3 linked regions of the Drosophila melanogaster genome follow. The protein of the gene in region 3 interacts with the protein of the main gene of each other region in a pairwise test. Each region holds a gene or a part of one and is shown on either strand. Other genes may lie near its edges. The genes, in order: CG15914, beag and CG8079.

The links.
Region 1: the proteins of CG8079 (region 3) and CG15914 interact in a two-hybrid assay, tested with the Drosophila melanogaster proteins (one large-scale study listed by BioGRID).
Region 2: the proteins of CG8079 (region 3) and beag interact in a two-hybrid assay, tested with the Drosophila melanogaster proteins (one large-scale study listed by BioGRID).

The regions. Positions count from the first base shown.
Region 1 is NC_004354.4:15,848,940-15,856,465, reverse strand, and holds CG15914 (uncharacterized protein), read right to left. Parts: upstream 3,046-7,526; 5' UTR 3,021-3,045; coding exon 2,936-3,020; intron 2,861-2,935; coding exon 2,578-2,860; intron 2,525-2,577; coding exon 1,759-2,524; 3' UTR 1,496-1,758; downstream 1-1,495. Other genes in the region: Myb oncogene-like, read left to right, coding at 1-676, 741-1,399; UBL3 (ubiquitin like 3), read left to right, coding at 4,177-4,881, 5,270-5,378, 5,756-5,920, 6,038-6,102; sun (stunted), read left to right, coding at 7,302-7,330, 7,450-7,526. UniProt on the Drosophila melanogaster protein: Glycosyltransferase that specifically catalyzes mannosylation of cytoplasmic tRNA(Asp) modified with queuosine at position 34 (queuosine(34)). Mannosylates the cyclopentene moiety of queuosine(34) in tRNA(Asp) to form mannosyl-queuosine(34).
Region 2 is NT_033777.3:9,062,371-9,069,896, reverse strand, and holds beag (beag), read left to right. Parts: upstream 1-4,818; 5' UTR 4,819-4,907; coding exon 4,908-6,491; intron 6,492-6,556; coding exon 6,557-6,646; 3' UTR 6,647-6,765; downstream 6,766-7,526. Other genes in the region: Ada (adenosine deaminase), read right to left, coding at 3,645-4,658.
Region 3 is NT_033778.4:15,214,210-15,221,735, forward strand, and holds the start of CG8079 (uncharacterized protein), read left to right. Parts: upstream 1-4,171; 5' UTR 4,172-4,254; coding exon 4,255-4,446; intron 4,447-4,503; coding exon 4,504-4,627; exon of another isoform or gene 4,628-4,690; coding exon of another isoform or gene 4,691-6,055; exon of another isoform or gene 6,056-6,120; intron 6,121-7,219; coding exon 7,220-7,356; intron 7,357-7,518; coding exon 7,519-7,526. Other genes in the region: CG8093 (uncharacterized protein), read right to left, coding at 123-1,226, 1,299-1,391; CG11808 (uncharacterized protein), read left to right, coding at 2,091-2,669, 2,733-2,813; mRpL41 (mitochondrial ribosomal protein L41), read right to left, coding at 2,855-3,355; Hex-C (hexokinase C), read right to left, coding at 4,691-6,055.

The sequences.
Region 1 (7,526 bases), on a different chromosome or scaffold from region 3:
GCCAAACGTCTGCCCGGACGCACCGATAACGCCATTAAAAACCATTGGAATTCAACAATGCGTCGCAAATATGACGTCGAACGCAGATCGGTTAATGCATCTGGTAGCGATTTGAAGAGTTCGCGAACCCATCTCATCACGCTGATCAAGTCCGGTGGCATCAGCAAGTGTATGAATAATATGCAACATAACAAGGAATCTGGTGGTGAGGCAGTTAATAAATCCGAAAACGCCGATGGCGCTTCGGTTACTGCCGTGAAAGGTGGTGATCTGGCACAGGAATCACAAGACGATCATCAAAAGGGATCCAATCTGGCACACCTCAGTATGCAGCATCTCATTAAGTTGACCATGCCGCGCCAAACACCGATCATATTGAAGCGTACACGCAAACACATTCCCGAAACTCACCATCAGGCAGGATGTTCATCAAGTGAGACATTCAACCAGGAAGAAGCCGCCGGAAACGCCAGGTCGCGACCACCGAGTTCGCCCGTCATATCGCCCATTAAGTCGCTACCCTTTTCACCGAGTCACTTCCTCAAGTCGCCTTGCCTGACCACCTTTGAAGATATGGATCTGCGGGCTAGCACGCCGGTAACCAAGGTCTATAATCGCGTTGGAATGGAGATCAAAAAGGAAATGGAGACATCGTCGATAGAAACTCCACACAAGAGTAAGTACAAGCCACTGTTGGCTTCAAATGCATCTTGAATACACACAATCATCGTTATTTGTAGGTCAACTTGGACCACGAACACCAACGCCCTTCAAAAAGGCACTTGCTGCCATCGGCAAGAAGAGGGACGGTCGTCGATACGAGCCCTCCAGCCCATCCAGTCTGGTGGAGGATCTGGCCGAAATCATCCATGAAGAGCATCTGAGCAACTCGCTGACCGCAAACAATTCCAAAATGATGGGCGCCGCCGATCAGAACTCAACGCTAAGCACCGAATACAATGCTCAGTCGCCGCCGCATATGAAACGTGCCAGGAAGTCATTGCTCTCAACTTGGAGCTCCAATCATCCATACAACGCTGGCTCCGCCAAGAGGATTCAACCCTTCGAAACCGAGACGCCCAGCAAGTTTCTCACATCGCCGGGCGATATTTTGAAGGACACGCTGTGCAGCGAACAGGACCTGCCGTTCGACGAGGGCAGAAAGGAGAATCGACCATTCCATAATCGCAGAATTAACAAGTACCGCGGTGGCTTGACCTACGATCATGTCATTGATCCCAAGTGGGCACGCGTCGCTTGTGGCAAGTCCAGAGATCAAATGTTTATGGAGGAGCAGGCTTATGCGTGCCTCAAAAATCTGTCCTGTATTTCGCGCTCCCTGAACTTCGAGAAACAAAAGTGTTTGGTGAATTCGTTCGACCGCTTTGGTTCGCTCTAAATTCTATGTGGCTATATTCAGGTATTACAAACAAAATTCTATACGCATCATCTTTATAATATTGTAGATATGAATCCCCAAATTTTCATCCAAATTGTGTTTTCGAAATAGAATTTATTGTGCTACATTTATGGCATTATTGGTTACATCCACCTTAAATTGTATCCCATTTTTTTCGGATATTTCATAAATAAATAAATGCTTAAAGTGAATGAAGCGTGTTTTAACACAAAGGACTTACATATATATATCGTTTTTTTTTGGCTTTGTAGGTTACAGAAGAGAGATATATTTATTCAAAAATATATCTATTATATTACAGAGAATATTTTGATAGACATTTGCCAAACCTTCGATTTCTAACTTTGTTCGTCTGCAATATGTTTATTGAATATGTCCAGATATTTTGGCACTAGTTCTTTCGCCGAAAAACGATCGAAATTAAAGTTCTCAAAGAATTGATCGCGCTGCTTGCGAAAGACCCTCGGCATTCTACAAAAGTTGTAGAGCTTCTTCGTCAGCGCATTGGAGGTGTTGTAGAGGTTTTCCTTTGGGTAGATTTCCGGGTAGACCAATTTGTTGGGCGCAATGGGATAACAGCCGCAGAAAGCGGCCTCCAGCATTGCTACTCCAAAAAACTCATGGTCGGCAGTTGATATCACAATGTCCCCAGTCAGCAGGGTCTTCAAGTACTCTTCACGCTCCAGATGGCCAAAGTTCACCAGCTTGCTGCCCAGTTTCTCCTGTATATGCTCGAATTCCTCCGGTATCTCCTGGTAACTCTCGCCACAAATAGTCACCTTGAAGTCCACTTGTCGCTCATGGAGCTGACAGAGCGTATCCACCAGTAGTTTGGGATTCTTATCGTGCTCCCAGCGATGTGGCCAAATAAGATGGATGCACTTCTCATCCAGATCCTCAGCAGTCTCCCCCTTTACGCACTCCTTCCGAATGGGAAACCGTTCGAAATTGACGGGAAAGTACAGCACTTGGCATTTCTTCTCGATTTGCTCGCGAATATGCTTGATTTTAAAGTCTGGCTGCATATTCAGAAAGGGCTGAACATTATCCAAAAACGAGTTGCAGTTGAATTGGGAATTGAAGAGCACCATGTCTGCGGCAAGACTGAAAATGGATGGGTTATGGATGCAAGTTGGGTATACAGGATGGTCACCTACCAGGAGAGTATCTCATTGAAACCGTATTGACAATCGCGCTGCTTCACCTCGCGCACCGGATAGATCAGCTGGTTCTCGTGGAAGTAGACGATCTTCCGGCAAGCGGCCAGATCCGGACGCAGACCAATCAGCTCGGCCAGGCTGAGCACGGAGCTGGCGAAAAGCACCCGGAATGCGTGATCGCGCGGAATCAGCTGGGCGAAGTGGAGGGCAGAGGTGCGTGCTCGCCAGTGCCATTTCTTGGCGGGAAGGCTGAATATCTCGCTGTCGCCATGGTTGAGACCTACAAATTGGATGATAAGTTGGAGTGAAGTTTGTATGTCTAGTTGTAATATTCTAAGTATGTATATATGTGTACCCTCGATCAGTGCGCCGATCAGCTGTTTGTGACTGCCCCCGTAAAACGGTTCAATAATCAAAATATGCGGCTTTGCGCACGACATGATAGACGGTCTTGGTGTGTGACCAGAGTGAGTGACAATTACCAAATATATTAATTATTTTAAATGTTGTTTATTTTTGAATTGATCACTACACAATTTATAAAACATTTATTTAACATAATTAGGCTAATTAAATTACCCCAATTGGTTTAAAATAAACAATGAAGGGTGTTGTTTTTATCAGCTGTTTGAATGCACAACCTGTGCAATGCGAAAATATACCGACCAGTGGAGAACGCCTCGAATTGGCTGTTCACGTCACTCGCACGCTGGTCACACCGATTTTGTAAATGCAAAAATTGAGTATGTATAAGTATTTACCATCGTGTCGTTATAGGAAAATTAAAAATTGTGTCATCTCGGACCAAGATAAATGTTGAAAAGCAAACCAAAGTGAATCATAGGTATATTGTAGATAAAATCTTTTCTGACTGCTGATTATGCCAACAATCGAAGCTGAAAACTTAGCGCACGGGAAAAAAAAATCAAACGCGAAAGTGCTTTTTTTTTATCCAATACCAACTACACAAGCACATACATACGTACATATGCATATATGCATATGCGTATGTGTGTGTACAAAGGCATTGATATAAAATTGAGAAAAATTCAATAAGTTTACCATAGCAGACCAATAGCATTGATGTAATATCCGTACTGTCGAGTGTACGCATTCATAATCCTTGCTGTTTTTACCTTATTTTAGTGTCTACAATTTGGGCATAAACACATTCGCATATATATATATATATATATATATATATGCATGTGCACACTGATTAGTGCGCAGATATATGAAGAAAACATTGAGAAAAAAAGAAGCAAAACAATCGGATTCATTGGAAAAGCCATTTGAACGCAATCCAATTAAAATTCAAGTGTATTTCAACCGAGCTATGTAGTCGTATTCTATTATGTACGATTGTAGTGCAGCCAGCGAATAATCGAATCGAGTTACATCAAATCCTGGTGGGTATCGCCAACGAAAAATGCTCAATGTTCCATGGAAATAGCAAAATGGCATTGGCAATTGATTGTGCTGATTACATGCGACCTGGAAACTTGCCCATTTCGAATTCGGATGGGCAGTTAAGTCAGTGAATTACTGAATCACTTGAAGACACAAAATACAAATACGAACTGCAACCCTCTCGCCATGTCGGTAACATCTTCGATTGAGAAGCCAACAACCACAGCAAGTGCAATTCAGCAACAGTATCAGCATCAGCAGCAGCAACAGCAACAGAAGCCACAACAGCAGCAACAGCAGGATAAAAGCAGCACCATCGCAATCGCAGCAGCAGCAGGACAGCAACAAAAGCGCAAATCCCTGAGTTCCAAGCGCTCGTATTCGCTATCCTCGTCGAGCGCCTCCAGTTCTGGTTCCTTTGGGGCGATAAGGTCTGCGACATCGCCACTGGTCACCACCGCCGAGAGGGAGAAAGATAAGGAGAAGAGCTCCTCCTCGGCCAGCAATAGCCACCATCAACATCATCAGCTTCATCAACACCAACATCATCATCAGCAGCAGCAGTCGCAGCAGCAGCAGCAATCCTTTTTGCCGTACTCATATTGCACCGATACCATAGCAGCAGTACATCATCAACGACAGTCGTACGCGCTGGTCCAGAAGCCCCCATCGTTGCGCTACCAGGGAAAGCCCCATCATCAGCTGAGCAACTTCTCGCCCACGATGACCTCCTCGGAACCCTCATCCCCATTGGCCGCCGATGGTTGCGGATCCGGAATCCTTAGCCCATCGGAGGTCGCCACCCATTGTTGCGCCAATGTCAAGGCCAATATCACCACCCCATTGGCCACCACCACACAGAAAATGCACCGAACAATACCATCTGATAAAGTAAGTGTTATTTTAGGCATTTATTGAGCACACTGGGTGGCTGGCTATTGAATAGTTGCCGTCAGTTACTTCGACAATTTGTAGCATAAATACCTGAGCAAAAATGCATATATGTAAAACGTAACATGAGATAGAAGCAACCTTCGATTCCTTTTACGCAACTCTTAGCTGAGTGCATATTGCACTTTGAATCATTTATTTACAAAGATGTTTTTTTTTTATATATATATAAATCAGCTATCAGATTTATATCAATTTAGTTGAGTAGCTTTAAATCTTTTTGGCAGGACTTACATTTAATTTCATTGAGCTCTCATAAAAAAACGATATACTATAAACTATATCATATAAAAGAATTTAATTGCAATAATATCCGTTTGCTTTTCAGATTAACCTACGCCTCATTCTTGTTAGTGGTAAAACAAAAGAGTTTATTTTTAGCCCTTCAGATTCCGCAGGTGATATTGCACAAACAGTATTTGATAATTGGCCAGAAGGTGAGTGAATTTAGTGTTAAGTTTGTCGGCGAATGATTTTTAATCACTAACGATTAAGTATGTAAGCTACGTAATACAAATAGAGTGAAATATACATATTTCTTCTAAATGGCATGCTATTGACCCTTTCGCGTGAACTGCATTTATTTTGAGAACGCTTTAATCATAGTCACAAGGATACAAGGATACAACCCACGAAATATTTAATATTTATGGCATCTATTGGATATTTCAAATAAATGCGACTTTTGAAGTTTGTTTAAATATTGTCAGCTTGTTGGCCTCTAAAATCAATTCTTTCTTAGTTGTTTTGCTTTTAGAGTTAGACTTTTGATGCGAAAACCCATGTAATACATTATTGTGCATATATCTTGCAGATTGGACCCACGAAACTGTGTCGAAAGCCGAAATCTTGCGCTTAATTTATCAAGGTCGTTTTCTTCATTGCAATGTAACCTTAGGAGCACTGGGACTTCCATTAGGCAAAACGACTGTTATGCATTTAGTGCCACGTGATAATTTGCCAGAGCCCAATTCACAAGGTAGGTTTTCAAAAAAAAAAAAAAAAAAGAAATATGGTTTCAATTATAAAGAGCTGCTCAAATTTAAATTCGCAATGCATACGAAAAACATCTTACTGAATTTTCCTCCTCTTTTAGATCAAAGACAAAATAGTAAAGGCGGTTCTGGACGATGCTGTTCGACAAATTGCTCTATTTTGTAACTAAATTATTATATAATAGCGTAATATTTAAACTAATTTGCATTAAAAGAAAAAAGAAAAAAAAAAAAACACCCACAACCGAAATAAAAACAAATATGAATGTATAAATTACATTTTTGTGCAGTCAGAAGTATATTTATTAAACTATAATAATGTATGTCTGGATCAACAAGGCGCTTTGTTTCAACTATTAATGTACATACAATATATATTTTATATATATACCACACAGGAATTCATGAGCATGTGCAAAATGCGTATACTCTGTATTAAAGTTGCTAGACTGCATATTTATAACATGTAATATACGAATACAATGCTAATTGCTTTTAGAAACCGGACTTGTTAACCTAATTAGAGAATGGGTAATTACAACACTTATTTCAAATATGTCGAAAATATTGAAAACTAATTATGTGCAAGAATAAGTAATTTTCCCATTGCGTTCTGCTTTTAAGTGTGCGTCTACCGAAAAACTAAATAAAATCAGCAATTACTTGTCAGATCGATTCTTTAATGCGTTAAAGAATATTAAAGAAATTTTTGTTCTGTATATATACACATTTAATTAGAACTTAAGTGTTTTCTTCTGTTAAGTTTTAAAATATTATCTGTAAAGTCTAACTTAAAGTCAATGATAAATAAATAATCTAATATATCCTTAGCTTATCCTATTTTGGGTGCATTGGTGGTTATTTGATTAATTAGCCTAGAACTAAAAACAAATTTCAAGGAAAATTGGGGAATATTTTTTTTAAGTTGATGGTTTAATGTAACAATTTTTCTTGAAATGCTTTATGCAAGGCACGTTAAACAATGTCTGCTTAATTATTTGTGTAGGCATGAATAAGTAACAAGCTTCGTTCTTTCGAATAAAACAGTTTGGCATATCCATATTTATTAGGGTTTTTCCCAAAGGAAGAAAAATAAGTAAATTAGATTTTTAAATATTGAAAAGTTTGAGTTTGGATATCGATAACAAATGTTACTAACAGTGTGTATGTTCAATAACAGAAGTCACAGTCGTCGTCGCTATCTTGACGCGCGTAAGCTAGTATTTAAGGTATATGTGCGACAATCGACGGTATATTTCTGACTTAACTCTCAAAAACTAGTTGGCCACACTGACCGGATTCAGAAAGGGAATATCTTATATATTTTTTGTGTAGCGTGAATATATTTCGAATAAACCGATCACAATGACTGCCTGGAGAGCTGCCGGAATTACGTAAGCATTGTATAAGTGCCTGCCACACCAGCTGTGTTGTGGCAGCATTCTCATGCAAATAAAAACGCCTTTGCTGCCCGATTACATAACATAATTAATCCAAATATTACCGATTGCAGCTACATCCAATACTCCAACATCGCCGCTCGCATTTTGCGCGAGTCCTTGAAGACGGGACTGCGTGCGGATGCCGCCA
Region 2 (7,526 bases), on a different chromosome or scaffold from region 3:
AGCTGGTGACCACCGATCGACGATCTGCATGGATATTGGTCAGCTGGTGGCCAGCTAAAAGAACCTGTTAGCCAAGTAAGCCAAAAATGATAATAATTGGATTTTAAAACAATAACCATCAAAATAAACCAATTTTTTTCAAAATTTTCCGAGACCCTTTTATGTTTGCTAGCCCACCTTAATGTATGATATATGTATATGTATATTTAAATCGACACTATGCTTTCGCAACTGCACACTGAACGAAATCAGGTGGAGAGTTAACTTTGTTATGTTAGACAGAAAGCGCTTGTTGCTCCCTGCGAAGCTTGAAATGCATTCGCTGTGCGGCATACTAAATAATTAACCAACCCTTCCTTCACGTAAGTGTATAAAATTGTTTTAAAACGTCATCGAAACACTTGTAAATTGCAAACAAAAACTGTATATGTATACATACGAACGAATATTGTAAAAAGTAACAATACCAAGAATTTTGTACATTTTTGATATAAATTTAGATTACTTCGCGACGCCTTATTCCAAATACTAAAATACTGAAAATAATGAAAACGAGAGATGGTAAGAAAATCGAATTTAGACTTTTTTGTCGGTTTCGTCGAAACACACAAAAATCCAATGTAAAACAATTTTTGGAGATCAATGTAAAGTGTATTATGCATATTTTTGTACACACAAATTCGTTGTCGTGTCGTTGTTGTTGTCGTCGTCACCGTCGTCGTTGTCGTTGTCGTATTTTGTATATAACAAGCAAAGGATACCAGTCATTGAACATTTGTAATTTTCTGTACATTTCCCCCCAACACACCCATCCCATTAACCATTAATCATTCACTATTTACCATTACCCCTAATCCATCCCATTGAACATGACCACATTGCAACATCCGTATTATCCTGTCTCTGAACAAGTGAGCGCATTTCAAGCGACAGCGCAAGCAGGGCTCGGTATTATTTGTTTGGTACTTTTAGTTATTAACTTGTCAACTGCCTGTCTCTAGAGCGCAATGCACTGATAATTTTAATTTAAATAATCCATAGATGAACATTGTATTTAGGATTCTCGAGTTCGATACGGAGTGAACAATGCAAGTAGAGATGCTTTCTGTAGGCTAAACACATTGCTACACGCCGTGTACATTTGACGTGTAAAATACACCGAACACCCACACTCACACCGACACGAACACCAACACATCTACACACCCACACAGACACAAAGGACACAGCGAGCTGCTTAGCTGTAGTAGTTAGTGTAAGCCAGCGAATCCCTATAAATATTTAAACATATATACACGCATATAGAATTATGTACTACACTTAGTTTTGAACTTGACGTGAGGCAAACGTTTTTTAAAAAAGAAAAATAATGTATATGTAAAATACATGTGTAGAGTAGCGGAAGTGCCGTGGCACAGTGAAATTTACACGTATGCTGGCGTATTCTACACACGCCCAGTTTTTACAGTAACAATTTTTTGCACGCATGTAAGACACTTGGGTATACAAGTCGAAATCTAAAAATCTAAAGCGAATTCCACTTAAAAAGGATCAATATTTAACAACCACAAATGTAAACAATAAAACTTAAAATGTACGAAAAACTCCCTGTAAACTTGTAATCGTATAAAGAAGCGAATTAAGCAAGCATTTCTTTGTATGCCAAAGGCAAAAACAAGTGGGTCATTTTGAATTTGCGAAATCAGAAAACCCTTCGGCTATTGGTTTGAAATTTTCGCAAACTAAAGTGTAAAAACAAAATAAAGCCCAATACGATAAAGCCCTATAGATAACCAAGATTTCAAGTAAATATAAAGCATACCGCAGAAGCAAAAATTTGTAAAATTTTTTCGACAGCAGAACCTTGTAAACTAAGCTAAGGACATAAATAAACCTTTTGTAATTTGTTGTAAAAAGAAAGGAAAGAATGAAAGAAGGAAGGATGGCGGAAATTAAAAGGCATGACATGTGCTAGAGCTGGCGTCAAGTAAAACTATAAATTATATATAAATATAAATATATATTAAAGCATATACATACATATAAATATAAATAAACAGTAATTAATTAATTACGATAATATTTTGTAGTTACACACTCGAACACACGGAGAAATTCAAATATACAAACACAGAGCGAGACCTTTAGTTTTGTAAACCGCGAGCGATTGGCACAAGTTAAATAACTACAATTTGGACAGCATTGCATTCGAGCATTTGATTTAACAATGCATTAGATTTTTATGTTTATTATTATTATACAAAATACGATTAATGCTAATTTCTTTGTGAAAAAAATAAAACAAGTTTATTATGTAGCAAAAAGAAAACGTTTTATTTCTCAATTCGAACCGATTTAATTGTCTCTTCCTCACACCAAAATGCACACATCCACACATAGTTTCAACTGATTGGCTTCAATGGAAGGCTGCGATGACTACAAAACTGAAATCAAAATTGATATTAATACGGCATGCAATTAACGAGAATAGCATTACATTGAAAATAAATATAGATAAATAATATACACGTACCATAACCTCTATAGCCCTTCCAAATCTGCAGAAAATGGCACAACAACCAAAAATGAAAGCGCAAGTTCGAGGCATTTTATACGGCGCATTTTTTATATATGAGCAGGCTAGCTGTCTATATGATATTACCCAAAAATGGTCGACTTTTATAAATGAGCCAGTAAGTAAACAAGACATATTTTTTTATAAGCCTTGGCAAGCTAAACTTTTACCAGGCCGTACATTTTAAAAAAAATTATACATACTTAAAAGCAAGAATACTAAAACCCTATGCCCGAACTCCTAAATAAAGTCGAATACAACAGCAAAATCCATACCATACCATTTTCAACTAGTAGAATTTTTCCAAAGTGTAGAAATGTAAACCTTTATATAAATATATAGATTTGTAATTGAACTCTCTAGTTGAGGTAAAAACACTTCTATACAATATAAATAAACTCCCAAGTCGGTCGTTTCTTGAAGCTCGACATTTGGAATGAACTGGATAAAGTAGTAAAACTCATGTAGAAACACAGCAGTAAGCTAAAACCAAACTAAAAGTATAAAATATAGATAAACTGTATATAGGGAATACCAGGCAGGCAAACCACTTCAACTGAAAGCTAATCTGCAGGCTTGGGTAGGTGGAGGGTCCGACTATAAAGATGTCTTCACCCAAAAAGTTTGTTTCAAAATGTGCTATTAAACTACAGATTTCGATCATTTAAGTCTTACTTTGGTTTCCTTAGATTTCGATCGTCCACTTCACTTGGTGCAGTTTAAGAGCCCACTATTGACCAAAGCTTGTACTCCATTGTATTTTGAATGCCTACCCCCAAACTAAGCCACACAGAACGGCAGAAACGAGAACATAAAGTAATGAACAGAAAACTTGAATTCAATTATGAATGATATTAAATGAGAAAAACATAAAAACTTATTAGCCACATATGTACGTACGAAGGATGAACATAACTAATGAACAAACTTGTAACTAAATACTTCTACATATTGAATAAAAAGAATGATATTAAAAGGTAAAATTTTTGACAAATAAGAATCAGGTTGGTACATATATGGTGTTACATACAAAAACTTATTTATTTCAATTAGGGCAGTGACAGTTTTTTTATTTGACCAATATGTCTGCGTAGTTCCCCACCCTATCCGCCATCTGTATTTGCTCCTGTTCGCTGGCGAATGAATGATGCACTGCCTCCAAGGTCAAATCGATGCATTGTTCACGGGTTAGACCGAAAGTTTCCGCAGCAATCAGAAACTCCTTTGTCAAAGTGGTATCAAAAACGCCACTGTCGTCCGTGCAGATAACCTTGGGTGCATCTGCCTCCATGATTCTTTTCAAGTGGTGCTCCTCCAAGCTGGGCACTGTTCCCGACTTAACATTACTAGTGAGGCAGCATTCAATGGCAATATTTCGTTGTTTAAGCTGCCCAATGTCCTCGGGAGTAAGAAAAGTTCCATGTCCACAGCGGGACATTCCAAAGTGCAGCATTTCCTTTACCTCCGATGGATTCTCGATCTCGGCGCAGTGTATAGCTAACTTCAGACCCTTATCCCGGGCCTGTGCAAGAATAGGAGCAAAGTCGGAAAACCGCCCCTTCCCTGGATTACCGCTAAGATCGATGCCTAAGATAAGATTTGGATGAGCCCGTGCCAACTCCACAGCCAGGGAAACTGTTTCCTCAGCCACGTCCACTGGTTCCGCTCGATTGATGGAGGGCAGTAGCTTGACTGTTATCTCTGGATACGTTTCGCTAGCTGCCTTAATTGCATCGATCACGATCTGCAGGTAGTCCCTGCGTGAATAGTTCTCGTTTGCCTTAGGAGTGGTCCTCATTTCCACATACTGGACGTTGTCCTCAGCGAAATCTCGAATCGCCAACTCCGTGGCAAATCGCAGACCCTCCCGGGTGGAGGTCAACTCGTGCACAAATGCAAACTTCTCGAAGCATGCATCCATATCCTTTTCAAATCGGCTGAAGTGCGCGCACAACTTCAGGAAATCTTTACAAGAGGTTCCATACAATCGCTCGCCAAGATCACATAGGCTTTTGATGCCCAAGGAACCGTTGAGGTGAGCATGGAGCTCTACTTTGGGCAGACCTTTAAGAAACTGCTCCATTTGTAGTTTAACAATAATAACAATACATTATGAGAAACAGTGATGCTAAATGTGGAATCGATTTTCAAATATTCGTAATTATTCGGAAAAAACGCTAAAAACGCTAATCTTCCATCACTGTAAACATGTTATCGATTACAGTACGGAGAAAAATCAAAAACACAGCCAACCCTGGCAGGCAAAACCAAGAAGAAGCACAATTTGTAAATATAGATTTTCTCTGCGAGTTTTCTTCGAATTTTCTTCGCCATGTCGGATGCCCACTTGGAAGCACCGCCTTCGGTGCGACTAACCAACGATGACTTCCGCAAGCTGCTAGCGACGCCCCGAGCTCCTCCTCCTGGCTCCGGGACGAGCAGCACCTCCGCTGGAGGATCTCTGGCCACTGCTACCTTTGCCACGCCCTCCACCGCCCCCGGCACGACAGGATTGAGTGGCGAAAAGAAGAAGGGTCAGAGCAGCAGCGAGCGGAATGATCTGCGTCGCAAGAAAAAGAACTTCTATGCGGCGCTCAAGAAGCAGGAGGATGTGAAGCTGCAAGAGCTGTCCGAGAAGTACAGGGACCGAGCACGAGAACGACGCGATGGTGCCAATCCAGATTACGTGAACGTGAGCACGCCGGGACACGGAAGCAGCACCAATGCGTATCGAGCTGTAGCGCCAGATATGAAATCCGGAATCGATGCCCAGGAGCGAAGAAGACGTATCATTCAGGAGTCCAAGTTCTTGGGTGGAGACATCCAGCATACGCATTTGGTGAAGGGTCTTGATTACGCCCTTCTGCAAAAAGTGCGCTCCGAGCTGCACTCGAAGGAAGCGGAAGAGGAGGAGATTGCCGCCGCTGTGGCAAGGGAAAAGCTCGCCGAAGCAGCTGCCGCCGCTGAGCAATTGGAAGCGGAACGCCGCGAGTCGGAGGATATTAATGCAATCAATGGTGCACTAGCGCGCAATATTTACAATCTAGTGCAGGCAAGGCGTTCGAAAGAAGTTCCCCGCAATGAGCTATTTGCTCCAGGACGGATGGCCTATGTGATCGACCTGGATGACGAGCTAGGGGAGTCGGATATTCCAACCACACTGAAGCGCTCCAAGTTCGAGGTGCCGGTGTCACAAGAGGATGTTGCCACGCTGACCACCAATGACATTGTGATCAACAAGCTGTCCCAAATCCTGAGCTATCTACGTGCCGGTGGTCGCAACAAGAAGAACAAAAAGCGCGACAAGGACAAACCGCTGTTCTACGAAAAGGAGGTGGAAAATCTTCGTGGGTCGTCTAGCAATGGTGGCTCCAGTCGGCACGCCACCTCGTCCTCATCGAACATGGGAGGGAAATCAGCTCCCTTGGGCGATAATATCTACGACGATATAGGGGACTACCAACCTTCTGCCACGCGACCTGAGCGAAACCGCCAGGAGCAAGGCAAGTCCGCCCCGTCCTACTTTGGAGACGGCCCGCCGGAGGCATCAGAGGAGCCGATAATATCCAGTATTCCCCCGCCACCCAAGATATCGAAGGCCATGGCCGCACGGTTCGCTGAACCCGAGGGATACGCAGAATGCTATCCCGGGCTGGAGGAGATGAACGACGCCATCGACGACTCGGACGATGAGGTGGATTACACCAAGATGGATTTGGGCAATAAAAAGGGGCCCATTGGACGCTGGGACTTTGACACGCAGGAGGAGTACTCCGACTACATGAGCACGAAGGAGGCGCTGCCCAAGGCAGCCTTCCAGTACGGGGTCAAGATGCAGGACGGTCGCAAGACGCGCAAGAACAAGACGGAGAAGAACGAGAAGGCCGAGCTCGATAGGGAGTGGCAAAAGATTCAGGTATGTATATCCCAAAGGATTCGTCGATGATCAATACAAAATATTTATTTTTCTTTGCCATTTAGACAATCATTCAAAAGCGAAAACTGCCAAAGGACGGTGGAGGCGGCGGTGCTGGTGGCGATGAACCCGATTACAAATCCGCAAAGTACTAGAAATTCTTGAAACATTATTCTATATTTGTAATGTAATTCTGTAAAACATTAAATATAAGTATGCTCGTACTTGTATTAATCTTACATGCTCTCAAATATATTTTAGCAACGTTATCACTAATTTAACTGCTACTGGAGTTGGGAACTAAGGGGAGGGTCCTTAGGGAGCTTGGCAGGTTGACTTATCGACTATGTGCGGCAATAGCGCTGGTACAGTGGGATTCAGAACTGTAAGACCGCTGGCGCAACGCGAGTTTAATTTCCATCGAGTAAGGCCAAATGTTGGGGAACTTTAAAACGGGTTCGACAATCAAATAAAATCGATCTCTTTATTTTGCATTGCATTGCTCTTACAGTCCCGAAACGCACTGCTTGTGATTCTCAGTTGGTGTGCGAGCTGCATCTACTTAAGCTGGATGGGTGCACCTAGTGCTGCTCTCTAACATGTAACGTTTCCTGCATGCTTAGAAATATGACACTGATTAAATGTAATTACCTTCGCGGGAATGCTATTCTTAATCACTACGCTAAGTCCGAGTGTGAGGATGGTGGGGCGACTTGTATAAAATGGGTATCGGTAAAGTTTGTATCTTTCAGCTTCGGAAAACCGAAGCTCAGCCCTTTACACTGCCAAGAGTGGTTTGAGGAAATGGGGAAAACAAAGCCGGAAATGATTAAATAGTAGAATTTGTTTCTGGTTACCTAGCTTGAAAATATTGCAGCGATTTCCCACCTAAACATGTCATTAGAATTTATAAAAGTATTAAAACCGTAAAAATGGATTGATCTTCGATAAGAAGACATTTTTGAGATTCTCAAAAGGTATCGGAAAAACAGACCTGAACCTGAATATGACCTGAGCCCTATCCTGACTAGCTTA
Region 3 (7,526 bases):
CCACTCGTATATTATCGGTTCATTAGCTACCAAAAGCCCCCGTTGAAGTGGTGACCAATGGAACTTTTTTTATCACAATGTCACAAAAACGTATGTCGCTTTTTTTTATTTCCAGCGCACATTTATGCATTATTTATGTCGTTAATTACCCGATCATAAAGAATTTCTTTAATATTCAGTCCCCACAGAAAGTCGATATGATTCCACTTTTCTTCCGGCATGCGATATGCGCTTTTCAGGGCGCTCGGGTTCATGGTATACCTAAGGCGATCCACGTCAATCAGACTAGCAAAGTAGTCGTTGTCAGAGTAATAGAGATAGGTGGGCACATCGATGCCCTCCACATCGTACTCCGGCGGGGTCTTGCTGCTGTACTCCTTCTTGTTGCGCGTAGATCCGTAGTCGAATTGCCGGAAGTATCCGGAATTGTACTCCTGCAGGTAGTGGAAGATCTGATTTACTGAGCATCCCGCCGGAGTGGTGGCCATAATATCTGGGAGCAGGGTCTCGTTGATATATGGCGAGTTCCAGCCGCCCAGCAGGAATAGGGTGTTGGTGCACATGAACTGTGAAATGGCCTCATCGCTGCAGAGGAGAGCCCCGAACAGGTTCATTAGCTGTGTATTTGGCAAAAATTCGGCGCTGCCGAAGAGCTCGACGAAGGCATTGGGCTGACCAAGCAGTGGTCCACCGACCGTGGCCAAAGGACTCTCCATATGCTCCATCCAGGCCACAGGAGCGAGCAAATGAGCAGATCGAATGCGACTCTTGAAGCGCGGAATCATAGAGTTGAGCACAAAAAAGGATGTGGTTCCTTGAGAGTGACCCACATACGTAAGTTGAGTCACATTTGTCCAGTAAAGGACGTAATCCATCATAGCGGGCAGATCATAGATTCCGATATCGTGCCACTCAAAATTCCAGAAGGGCTGCAGCAGCGGCGACTTGCTGGCGTGTCTTTTGGAGTAGGTGTTGCCTCTGGCATTACCCATCCACACATCGTAGCCCGCTTCGGACAGCAGGTATGCCAGCCCACTGTGAGGTCCAGCAAGAACCCAATCCGAGGAGGAACACAACAGACCGTGCATAAGGAAGACAACAGGGCGTGGCCCATCGTACCCAGTGTTCTTCGAGTACGGTATGCGGTGCATTGTGAGGATGTAACCATCCGAGGTCTGCACCTCGTGCTCCTCGATTTCGTAACCGTGTCCCCTAACAATGGTGACCTGGAAAGTAGAGCAATATAGTGGTTAGTAAGGACTTTTGGGTGCCAAAGAACATGGCATCCTAAAACTTACAGTTGTCACCGAACTGGCGCGCCCCGTATCCGCAGGCAGGGCATTAGCCAAGCCCAGACTTAAAAAAACCGCAATTAGCTGAACCACCAACATTTTGTATTCCACAGGTGCAGGTGCTTTGACCGCTGACTTGGCCGCCCGTGCCTTTTATATGCCCCCCAGGAACTTGATAAGGATTCCTAGATTTGGCTGCCTAATTTATGACTGTTTATTTTTGCCTGCAAAATGGTTTGATTCGCCAAGACTGATAGATCGTGTGGGAATTTCGATCCCAGTTGATTTAACGAATGGCTAGTGGTCATCAGCGATAAGGTCTCCTATAATCTTGATAACTGCTGATTAGGTATAATTGCTAAGAGTTAATCAGCAATTAGTATTTCCTGCTTTGGGCGTACGGCAAACTGGACATTAAAAGACCCCACATCAGTCTGTAAACTGACATGCTAAGCCGGTAAGGACAAAACTCAATAAATGTAGTATATTAAATGAATATGTTAAAAAGAATTAATTGATTTAATATTACACATAGTTCTAAGTTAAATATTTTAAAGTGATTACTATAATTAAAATTCGCGCCTATTAGTTTAAATTAAAATCGGTCGATAAGTCCAAAAATCGATAGGCGGTAAACATGTTGACACAATCAGTGTGGCCAGCTGGAATATTCGTAAAAATGTTGCGTTTTCTTGACAGGCGATTTTGTATTTTGGGAATGAGCGACGTCCGGCACACAAGAAATATAACATAAATAAAAAACTAAATAAATAATTAACTGCCGATAAAGGACACATTATGAGGGATCGCGACCGCCGTGACAGAGATCGCGACAGAGAGAGGGATAGAGATCGGGACCGAGAAAGAGACAGAGAGCGAGACCGCGACAGACGACACAGATCAAAGTCGCCCAGCAGGAGCAGCCGGCAGGTTTCAAAACCGAAGAAGAAAAAGGCCAAGAAGTCGAAAAAGTACTCGAGAAGGAGTCGCAGTAGCAGTCGCAGCACCTCGCGCAGCTCCTCCAGCAGCAGGAGTAGTTCCCGCAGCACGCACAGCAAAAGCAGAACCAGGGATCATCACAAATCGCGGTCTATTTCGCAGAGGAAAACCAGGGGTCCAAGTTCGGAAAGCAATTCCCGATCCGCAACCACACCCGCAGCTGCTCCCGTGAAGGCCATCGATCTGTTCGACACCAAGGTGCAAAAGGCACTCGAGACTATAGACGAGGACACCTTCAAGCCGGAGTCATTTTTTAGCTCCAGGGATTCAAAGGAGACATCCGATAAGGTGATCATAGATCTGAACAATGAAACGGTCACAGTCGCCAGCAAGCCAGCCACTGCAGTCCGAAACGAAGATGTAATATTCCATCCGAACGTGAGTGGGTTACCTGGTGCTCGAATATACATGCTAATAGTATCTGATTTTCAATTCCGACAGTTCCTGGGCGACCCGGATATGAAGGCCGAGAAGTGGCTGCGCAAGCTGTACAATTACCGCCAAAAGTACATGCAGGAGTAGTCGAGTTTAGACTCTGTATTTAAGAAACAATAAACCTATGTCTAGAATATATCGCTGCCCGTCTTTCGAGCGCGTTGCAAGGCCTCCTCCGGAGTCAGTTGCTCATTGACCGAGGGCTCCTTGGCGCTGCCGTCCTTCTGCAGTTTTCCCGCCTTGAAATCTTCGATAATCTTCTGCGAGTAGACGGCGTTGAAGAGATCCAAGCTGGTGAACTCCGACTGGACGACGTCCGGCGCCTTATAGGACACGTATGGCTTTAGCTTACAACCGGTCAAATCGGGAACTATGATGTCCGGAATTTTCTCGGGAATCTCCACATACTGCCCGTCGACAAGTATGCCCGTGTCTCGTACACCTCGCTTGTGAATGGCTACCGGCGGATTGGCCAGTGTTTTCTGGGCTTCCTTTACCACGCGCGTACCGCGCTTGTTGTATGCGTTAAATTTACGGAAGTTCCGCTTGCCCTCCAGCACGGATGAAGTACTGATGGTCCTCTGCTGGCACCTTAGGGCAATGGGCACTACTTTAATACAATTATTCATTCTTATTTCGTTTTTCGGCGACCAAAATGGTTAAATAACAAATGTAGATGAGGGAACAGCTGTTTGGTTGGGTAGAGATGACACTTTTTTCGATAGACAATTAATCCCAGTTGGAAATGTATTGGAAGCCAATTTGCTATTAAACTACTTGTTTTTTTAAAAATACCGAAAAAGTTTTTTTTCTTTTAGGCCGTTGCCATATTTATTTTATCTTGATAAGAACTAAGTTGTTTTTTTTTTCAAAAACTAGGCATATTTTTTTTATGTGTAAAAGCAACCATCTCTTAATAAATCGATTAACTTTGCAGCCACCAGTGCTTAAAACGACTGTTAGTTGAAATGAAACTAGATGTTGGCGGATGTCGATGTTTTTGGCGAATAACATCGACGTTTTAAACATCGATGCTTTAAATAAAAATAATTGCTTTTTATTTTAATGTTGCTTAAATAAAACGTCAGTATTTGGTGTCCACCTTTTCATCCTCCGCTGGTCCAGTAATTGCTCCTATAAGACAAATGCACGTTTACATACATACATGTATATACATTTAGACGTGCATATGACATGCATTCATATGTGCAAGCCTTTTTCGGGTGTTAAAAACTTTCTTCTCAGATATTTTCCATGTCTATCACGACGCCACAATATGGTATTAATAATTGTATTAGAAGATATGGAAAATTAATTTGTACTTACAATTTATACGCTTTTCTCCTCAGATGCGATGTAGAGATGGAAAAACATCGATGATTCCTCGAAAACATCGATGAATGCGATTTTTTGAAAACATTGATGACATCCATGCTAGCATCGATGTTTCTCCATCTCTAGCTGAAACTCCCCAAATCGGCTTGTGATCCCTATAAAAAGTTGATTTAGATTCGACGGTTGTTAAACAATGTCGTTACCGGCTGAAGAGGAGGATTTGGCGGACACTGTCGCCAAGTACGATTCCATCGAATTGAAGAGCATACAGGACCTGGAAACCTGCGAGCAGCAACAACTACTGCAGTACGTCGAAAAGCTGCACGGGATTATCCGCAAATACGACACCAAACTGGCGTCCTATAAACAAAAACTCCTACACTACGTGAGTCCCAATTAAAGGTTGAGCTAAAATGGTCTTAATTTTTGATCTATTTTAAAGGTAAGCCGGGAAGAAAAGGTTTCGTGTGACAAAGCCAGCCAAGCAACTGAATCGGAATTACAAGAATGCCAGTATTCCATGGAAAACGATGAGGATACTAACAAAAAAGACCAGCCCAACGATTGTGAGTTAAAATTTGTTTTATTACACTGAGTCCTTCTATTATTGCTACAATAGTAGTGAGTTCCTACTTTGTTTTACTGGCCACCGCGGCCACCAGCGCAGCTCCACGTCCGGATCCGTCCTCCGAGAGCATGATGTCCCACTCCTTGTCTGCTTTCACCAGCTTTTGGAGTGTTTGCCTCATGTAGGCATCGAACTTTGGATGGTATCGGTAGACGGAGCCATCCATGCCGACTATCACGCGGCGGTTGGAAGTCCTGTTCACCAGCCCACTGACTCCGATGGCTACTAATGTAGCCGCTCGCTTAGCTACGCACTCGCAGATGTATCTCAGAGTCTGGCAGTCCTCCACGGAGGCCTTCTCTAGACCAAACAGATTTTTCACAATCTTCCTTGTGCTGGCAAACTCTGGGAAGGAGTCGTCCTCGATTTCCGAAATGTAGCGCGTCTCGAAAACCTCTTCGTTTCTCTGCAGCACGCTGGCGAATTCTGGACGTCGACTGCTCTGTTTAAAGATCAGCTTGCGCTCGAGGGCACGAAGTAGCACAAGGCGCACCAGGTTGCCCAAGTACATGCCCGCCGTCATCTTTTCGAACAGCTGCTCCGATCGGTTTAGAGACTTTTCGTCAACTTCGCGATCGTATTCGGTGCGCACAAAGTCCAACTGACCACCCTCACCAAAGGCGCCCCACTCAGCATTTACAATCACACTCCGCTTCGTTTTTTTAAAGTCTGCGCGCAATAGGTCCACATTCTCAACATCTTCAACGTAGCAGGCATTGCAGCCAGTTCCCACAATGACACCCACCCGGCAATCTGCATTACGATGGGCGCAGGACATCAAGGTGCCAGTGGTATCGTTGAGTATAGCCACCACGGCAATGTCGGCATCTCCGCGCCGCTGAATGGCCTCGTGCAGCATGCGGCCCACATCCTCGCCCTCAACCCCAGCACAATCGAATCCCTTAGTCCAGCGTACCAGGATGCCCTCCTTAAGGCCTAGTTGCACGCAAGGGAAGGAAAAAGTGAAGCCCAGTGGCAGATATGCGGTCTTCATGTCGTGTTTCTCCACAAATTTGGCCAGGCAGCCCGCAATGTGATCGAATAGGTCCACACCGGGCCCCACCATCAGGTCCTTTGGCACGGCATAGATCTGAGAATCCACCGTGGCGTCGTGGTGACCTTTCAGCGAGACGAGCAGTACTCGGAAGTTGGTACCGCCGAGATCCAGGGCCAGGTACTTGCCCATCTCGTCGCCCGTGGGCAGATCCTGCACGTACGTGGGAAAACACTTGACGTTGGCCTGTGGATGCGTGGACCGCTTAAGTCCACGGGCCACTTCCAGGCAAAAGCGACTGTACACTTCCTGCACCTGGTAATCACTCAACACAAAGGGTTGCATAAGTTCTCGCACCTCCGCGTCCAGCATTTTGCTTGGCTAATCTATCTGTCTTAGTTGTAACCGCCTCGAACGATGAGTAACGACTAACCAGGCGCCTGGCGAGCCCACGGCGATTTGGAGTTGCCCTGGGTGCCTGATAAGAGCCAGGCGTTGAGATGCAGTGCGCCTTGGAAACAACTGCTGCCGCTGCAATATGGGCGCTGCGTAGCAAATTAAAAACGAAAACACACCTAAGTAGCTGATTTGCGGATTCCGAATCTGAAACTACAACTGCGCGACATGCTAATCGCTCGTTGTCTCGTTTGCCGCTTGTCAATTGGTGGCAATAGCTTCAGATTCGGCACCCTACAAATTAATTGTAGATCGTCTTTAGCCGACTATTGGAAAGGAGGAAATATGTCACAATTAACTCTGCGAATAAATCCCGGATGGACACCGATCGCATGGCACAAGAATCCATTAAGAGATTACTATTAAAAAGTGTTTCAGTATCTACAAATAAGGTGTCCTCCGTTGTACTAAATTGTTGTATAACTTTTCGTAGAGTGCCATATTTCCGGAAAAAATGGCCAAGGCCGTATTTCACTTTTTTACTTTCTAAAAGCCATAAATTGTCACAGGGCGATATTAGCTGCAACACGCCTTCTTAGTTACGATGAGATAAGGCCGTTTCAAGGACCGCATCTTACAAGCGCAACCCACCCACTTGTCTATCTATTGAGGAGTATTGGCGGGGTCCTAGGTCGAGTACGTCAAACATTCCATGCCGGTAATGCCCGAGATAAGCACTGAAGTGTCGCATGGGCTAACGCCACTGCCCCTGACAAAAATCCGAGCAGCCCTTGACACTACTCTTAATAGAATTAATATGATTACGCAAAACTCAGGGGATTAGAAAAATAATTAGAATTCTTATACTAACACTTAAATAGCTACTTTATAGTTCGTCTAAATACATATAACTATAAACATTAATTTATGAATGTAAAGATAACTACAACCCATTTCCGACTATTTTTAAAGTTGAAATAAGGAAATGTTTTTCAAAACTGCTGATAACATTGCTCATTTTCGTGTCGTTCACCACAGGTTTCTGTTTTTATTTCTATATTGTCTTAAATATTTATAAAACCTTATCAATAACCATCAAAACATTACAAGTCATGTTTGGAAAATAATTTATATTTGCAGTATCGGCGACGGACGCCTTCAGTTTTGTGGACGAAATGAGGCAGGCAGCCAAGCACGCCGAAAACCTGAACAACTTCGTTTACGAGCACACCTCTGGCATGTACTACGATCCCAAGACGGGATACTACTATAACGCGGTAAATAAGCTATAAACAGCGGACGCAATCTTTATGACGTCCCGTTCTATTCCGCGATGCAGTGACTGCACCGCGATGACTTTCAGGGGTTATCGCGCTGGCAAACCTACATCAATGGCTCGGATTGTTGTTAATCTACACCTGCTTTTCTCTTCCTCGCAGGAGTACGG